Xenopus tropicalis: one gene and its partner. The protein of the gene in region 2 purifies or fractionates together with the protein of the main gene of each other region. This does not show direct contact. Links are inferred from orthologs where the notes say so. Each region holds a gene or a part of one and is shown on either strand. Other genes may lie near its edges.

Region 1 (3,098 bases), on a different chromosome or scaffold from region 2:
AGAAGGGGCAGGTGATGAGAGTGCAGAGAGAGCGCTAACCAGCAGAGGGAAGGTTCCAGTTCATGTCACAATGGATACAAGTCTCACTGCCCAGTTCAGTCTTCCTGGGGGGCCCCTACTGACCCAGTAATGTTTTGCCAATGAGAGGAGCGTTTACCTGAGCCTCACATCCTGGCTGGCTTCATAGCTATACCAACTCCTATCCATAACCCGGGCGGGGCCCCCACCAACCAGTCCATAACCCACCAACCAGTCCATCCATAACCCAGGCAGGACCCCTGCCAACTCCTGTCCATAACCCACCAACCAGTCCATCCATAACCCAGGCAGGACCCCTGCCAACTCCTGTCCATAACCCACCAACCAACCCATCCAGAACCCAGGCAGGACCCCTGCCAACTCCTGTCCATAACCCACCAACCAACCCATCCAGAACCCAGGCAGGACCCCTGCCAACTCCTGTCCATAACCCACCAACCAACCCATCCAGAACCCAGGCAGGACCCCTGCCAACTCCTGTCCATAACCCACCAACCAACAAAGTTGCCAGCTTTTCCCAAAAGGGTCAAATCCAAGAGACAATTCTGGGAAACGTTAGCTTTATATAAATGTTCCACTATAATGAGAGCAGCCCCACTCACAGGGTAACAGTGCCGCCCTGCAGTCTCCTACACGCGTGCCTAATGGGACTGGTTATCTCAGAGATGGGGCCAGCCACTCATCCACATGGGCCAGTTCAAATTTATATCTCTTGGAAAGCCCAGGTCCATCTGATCAGTAAGCCATGGAGCAGCCAATGTCCTTGTTGCCAATCAGGAAGCCATGGAGCAGCCAATTCATTGTTGCCAATCAGGAAGCCACGGAGTAGCCAAGTTCCTTGTTGCCAATCAGGAAGCCATGAAGTAGCCAAGGACCAATCAGGACAATCCCAGTGAGAGGTCAGTGAATAGGACAGAGCAATGCTGGAACATCTCCTCACTCATTGGCTCTTTACTTTCCGGCGCTGAGTGCACCACAGCAGGACAGACAGACAGGCAGTGACCAGGCCAAGGATCCCAAAGAACATCAGTATAGGAAACGTGCTCTGCGGGGGGCGAACAGGTTATTAACTGTGTATCTCACCCCCAGCCACCCACTCGCTCCGCCAATCCCCAACCAGCCGCCCCCCCTCGCCCCGCCAGTCCCCACCCAGCCGCCCCGCCAGTCCCCACCCAGCCGCTCCCCTCCCACCCAGCCGCTCCGCCAGTCCCCCAGCCCCCCAGTCCCCCAGCCGCTCCGCCAGTCCCCACCCAGCCGCTCCGCCAGTCCCCACACACCCGCTCCGCCAGTCCCCACACACCCGCTCCGCCAGTCCCCACACACCCGCTCCGCCAGTCCCCACACACCCGCTCCGCCAGTCCCCACACACCCGCTCCGCCAATCCCCACCCAGCCGTCCCACTCGCTCTGCCAATCCCCACCCAGCCGTCCCACTCGCTCCGCCAATCCCCACACAACCTACCTCTCTGAGGCACTTGTAGCCATGGAATCCTGGGGCACAGACGCACTGCATGTATCCGGGCCCATCTGGGGCGCACACAGAGTTCTCTGGGCACAGCACTGGGTGAGAGAAACAGAATCCCTTACATTGGGGTACAGATCCACGAGTGTCACTGTTCATTATTAAATAAGGCCATGCCCACATACTGCGAGTGTCGGGCAAGGGACAAATGCCCCATGCAGCGCAGTGACCGGGACATGCAACTTCTCTTCACTTAGTTTGATTGTTCAGGATTTCTATAGTTCGATGAATACTGCCCCTCTGAGAATAGAGACCTGGGCGCAGAACCCCCTAATGTTGGTACCTGACAATGGCTGGGGCCCCCACTCAGACAGCTTTACTGTACATGACCCAGGGGCATTATGGGTAGCACAGGGGAGGTTTGGGAGACCAACACCCAGGGGTTAATATGAGAGAATTTCTCACTCCCCAGAGATGAACGCAGTTATAAGGGAGACCTGCCCCAGATGCCAGGCCCAGCTCTTCCCTATAACATGTGCCTCCTTGCCCAACGGCAGCTGAACTGCAGATAATGATTCCGCTCCATCCAACCACATTGTTACTTACTAGGGTGGAAGTCCTCTGTCAAGAGAAACACAGGATTTCTTGTCTCCTTTTGTGTCACATGTTCCTCTGTGTCAGATTTTCCTGCTTTCCTGTGCTGTGTAATCTGAGCTACCAGCAGCCAGAACTGCAGCACATAAAATGGTGGCTTCGAGCTGTGGATCATGTTGGGCCCAGAGTACTCACCCCACTCGCTGGTACTGTTACATGAGCTCCTCTGGTCCTGGCACACTCTCACAGCCGAAGTCACATTCACATTTTCCCATGAGTTATTGCCCCCGGGGCAGCTGAGCTCGGCAGGGAGAGCGCTGGGGGCACAGATGAGGGGGTTACATTGGGGGATAAAACAGGAGGGACAGACAGACAGAGGGAATACTCACACATACTGCAGCCCCAACAGGCCACGGAAAAACTCAGAGGGGAGATCCCGCAGTGGGTTAGAGGAGAGGTCTCTGCAGAGGCAAAACAGGACAATGTAAACTCACAATGGCTGCACAGTCACCATAGCAACTTCCTGATAAGGGCAACTAAAACCTAAACTGCACCTTTTGTATTAATACAGAATGACTTAACGATCACATGTTCTGCACTCCCAATATCTGTTACTGCTCCCCTTGTAAGTCCGACCCACTGACTGAGCAACACACTTCCCACCCGGCCCAGAAGCTTCCAGCGCTCATTTCCACCCAGTGGCTGTAGTTACAGAGTCCCTGCCCCTCCCCTATAAGCTGCCATAAGAGTGTTCTAGCCCCACCCACTGCTAGTTACAGAGTCCCTGCCCCTCCCCTATAAGCTGCCATCAGAGTGTTCTAGCCCCTCCCCCTAAGCTGCCATTAGTCCCATTTAGACAAATGGTCACCATGCAAGGTCTGGCTCACACACTAGATGATGCGCTGAGTACATAGCGCCCACACATTCAGTAGGGCATTACCCAGAGGGTGCCCTGTACCCGTGTGTGTGTGGGAAGGGAATGCCAGGCAGGTACTTACAGAACT
Region 2 (3,654 bases):
GACAGTACAGTATGGGGGTACAGCTTATTGTGTGCCCAGAACATTCCTTCTCTGTATATTTGTATTTATACATATGGGTAGGGGGTGCCATAGTGTTTCCCTTAGACAGTACAGTATGGGGGTACAGCTTATTGTGTGCCCAGAACATTCCCTCTCTGTATATTTGTATTTATACATATGGGTAGGGGGTGCCATAGTGTTTCCCTTAGACAGTACAGTATGGGGGTACAGCTTATTGTGTGCCCAGAACATTCCTTCTCTGTATATTTGTATTTATACATATGGGTAGGAGGTGCCATAGTGTTTCCCTTAGACAGTACAGTATGGGGGTACAGCTTATTGTGTGCCCAGAACATTCCTTCTCTGTATATTAATAGATATGGGAGGGAGAGTATAACTTACTACATGACTAATTTTATAACCCCCCCTCTCTAACAGTACGCCTTCCTGGTGACTGCATCAGTGCAATTTGCTGGAGGAATAATCATCTTCTTTGGACTCGTCACATCCCCTAAAGAGTTAGGTATGTGGTATGATCCAAAAGGTATGCTGTTTTTGTCTATATACCTATTTGTAAGTTTAATCTCAATATTCACCTTTTGGATTACATAGGAACCCTAAGACTAGTTATTTGCAGTTGGTCGTGTTTTTATATTCTTTGTGGGTGTGAGCTATAGCTACATGAATGCAAGGGGGGGGGGGGTTGATTTTGTAACCCGTAGCAGCCAATAAGATGTTTGCTTTTATACAGGTCTCCCAGAGACCGGAGAGGGGGAGACGGACAGGGCAGCCCGAGAGGAAGGGGCAAACCGACCGCTCATCAGCGGAAATGACGACGGAGACGACGAATCAAATTATTCCATTCAGAGCGACGATGTTGTCAGCGCGCCCAAAGCCATTGGTTTCGTGCAGGCGTGCTGCCTGCCCGGGGTCCTATTGGTGAGGCTTAACCCCTTAGCTGCCAATGGCGTATACACAAACACACACAAACACTTCTTTTTTTCATTTTACCACTTTGTTTTTAGTTTCTTTTCCCTGTTTATTTTGACAGCGTGACTATTGGATCAGATATTCTGACCACTAATTACGCTGTCATGTGACTTATTGACTCGTGACTGTTTCTCACTGTTTTTTCACTGATTTGCACAATTTTTGTGGTTTTATTGCAGTTTTTATCCCCGTATTAGTGTTCCTGTTCTTAGCGTAGCTTTGCCAGGTGTAACTTTGGTGTAGGAAAATAACTTTAACTATTTTGAATTCATCTGAATGTGTATTTTCCAAAAATATATGGTTTTCTGGGGGTCTCTGTATAGTTAGGGGGGGATACGGCACATAATACGCTGTTGGGGGGTGAGAAATCCATATGTGCTATTTTCATTTTGGGGTCTGTATATACAACGTACGTCGGTATATCTATGCATATTGGGGATCAAACTGTTCAGTAGACCTTTGGGGTTTCTATTTGGGGGGATTTGCCTTTATCTGCAAGAAATTGTGTGAGATAAATGCGGCAAATTGCAACATTTTTATGCGATTTTCTGAAATGTCATAAAAGTTAGGAAAGCTTTGCGGCTTGGTACTTTGGAGTAGAAAGACATGGGTACCCATTATAGATTCGGGGGAATGTGTACTTTCCAAAAATATATGGCTTTCTGGGGTGAGCGTACTTTTTACTAACTTTATTCCACATATAATGATGTAAATGTGTTGATTTTGCAGGAAATGATTATATGGGGGTATGTTCCCATTGGGGCCCCTATTGGGGGGGCCACATACTTAGCTAAACCTATACATATTGGGCATCAAACTGTTCAGGGGACCCCTGGCGTTCATATTTAGGGGGTTTTATTTGGTTACTTTATGACCTGTAGGAGATAAGATTCTATAGACTGGAAGCTTAGAAGTGATTTTTTAAAAATTTCACAAATTTTGATAAAAAAAAACAATAACTTTAGGAAAGCATTGTGACTTGGTAGTTTGGAGCAGACAGAAAGTTGTGCCTATTCTGGATTCCCCAGAATCCGTTCTTTACAAAAATGTATAATTTTCTGGCATAAACTTTCTGTTAGTGGGAGTTTTGGCCCTAAAATCTAAAGTATGCAGCTTTCTGGCGCAGTGCTTTGGGAATTTGGTAGTGTCCTGCCGGGAGTTTGTGGCCTATACAAGTGAGAAATCCCCATAAAACTATATATATTTGGTATCGGCACGTTCAGGAGACATGGGACTTTGCAAATCAGTGGTAAATTCATGCATAACATAATTTTTGTCTCTGGTGTGTGTGTTTATATAATGGAAAATGTTATTTTTTTTTTATTTTTTAGACATTTAGAAGCCTGTATCTTGTTACAGAATTGGAATTACATAAACATTCGACCATATCTTGAAAGCTTAGGTTGTCCTGAAAAAAATGATATATTGTTTTCCTGGGTAAACTAAAAGTCCCCCCCTGAGGAAAGGCCCCTAAAGTGTAACTGTCTGGCAATACAAGTTCCGCTTTGACCAAAACGGCTGGCAGTGAAAGGGTTAAACAGCTGCTGTATTTTGGTTTAGATTGGGGGCCCTCCAGCTGGAGGCCCTGGGCCAGATGTGGGGTAATTTTTATGGTCCCCTCAGCCTGCTGATTAGATTTTTGTGTGTAATACAGTATATATCTGACATGCAGTCTGCCTATTGATCTGATCTGCCTATTACATGTACATGGCCAGGACTTCCACTAGGGGGCAGCACTGTACCGAGATCCAGCTGTACTCTGGATATAGGCGGCCATACACGGGCCGATTCTAGCTGCCAATATCGGTCCCTTAGACTGATTGGGCAGCTAATCGGCCCGTGTATGGGCACTAACGACGGGCCTGCCCGACCGATATCTGGCCTGAAATCGGGTAGATATCGATCGGGCAGGTTAAAAAATTTAGTCGGACCGACTTTGCCTATGCCCGTCGTTATAATTCGATCGTTTAGCCCCAGGGCCAACCCATAGGTGGGGATATTGGGAGAAGATCCACTCGCTTGGCGACATCGCCAAGTGAGCGGATCTGAAAGTGTATGGGCACCTTATCTGTCTCCCAGATCTCCCGTCTCTCACTGGCAGCATAAGATAACAATTGGAGGGCCCAGGGGCCCCAATGACTTTGCTCTCACTTAAGCACCATGTCTTCTTCTCCTCTGCACAGTACTCGCTTGCTTATGCCTGCCTCAAGCTGGTCAATTACTCCTTTTTCTTCTGGCTGCCCTTCTACCTGAGCAACAACTTCAAGTGGAAAGAAGCCGAGGCCGACCAGCTCTCCATCTGGTACGACATTGGAGGAATCATCGGTCAGTACCCTACAATAACTGCCGTAATGGCTTCCCATTAATGGTTCGGGAGATGCCACATACGGCTTTGCCACTCCTGTGGTCGGAATAGAAACACTCTCTAATGTACCACAAGGGCCACAAACCCCAAACTCCTGTTTCCTGGATTTACTGGAATCGATTTTACTTCCCGTTTTTAAAAAAAAACATGATTTGTGTAACCGATTGCGTAAGGTCCTTATGGGCCGTGGGAATGTAAGGAACACAGAGCTGTTACTGCCGGTATATTGGTCGGGCAGGTTCATCGCCGGGGCCCATACACAGGCCGGAGGGACCAAGTCGGCAGCTTTTATCAGAAGG

Evidence for each region. Proteins that work in one complex are often made in the same cells at the same time.
Region 1: the proteins of slc37a3 (region 2) and atraid purify together in Homo sapiens (affinity purification with mass spectrometry; 3 studies listed by BioGRID and IntAct, counting the BioPlex papers as one, with this or other methods). This does not show direct contact. The link is inferred for Xenopus tropicalis from reciprocal best matches to the Homo sapiens genes SLC37A3 and ATRAID.

Annotation. Positions count from the first base shown.
Region 1 is NC_030684.2:16,609,538-16,612,635, reverse strand, and holds the end of atraid (all-trans retinoic acid-induced differentiation factor), read right to left. Parts: coding exon 3,093-3,098; intron 2,556-3,092; coding exon 2,484-2,555; intron 2,412-2,483; coding exon 2,290-2,411; intron 1,599-2,289; coding exon 1,501-1,598; intron 1,085-1,500; coding exon 980-1,084; 3' UTR 583-979; downstream 1-582. UniProt on the Homo sapiens protein: Promotes osteoblast cell differentiation and terminal mineralization. Plays a role in inducing the cell cycle arrest via inhibiting CCND1 expression in all-trans-retinoic acid (ATRA) signal pathway.
Region 2 is NC_030679.2:5,294,196-5,297,849, reverse strand, and holds part of slc37a3 (sugar phosphate exchanger 3), read left to right. Parts: intron 1-438; coding exon 439-523; intron 524-751; coding exon 752-939; intron 940-3,173; coding exon 3,174-3,315; intron 3,316-3,654. UniProt on the Homo sapiens protein: Unlike the other SLC37 members, lacks glucose-6-phosphate antiporter activity.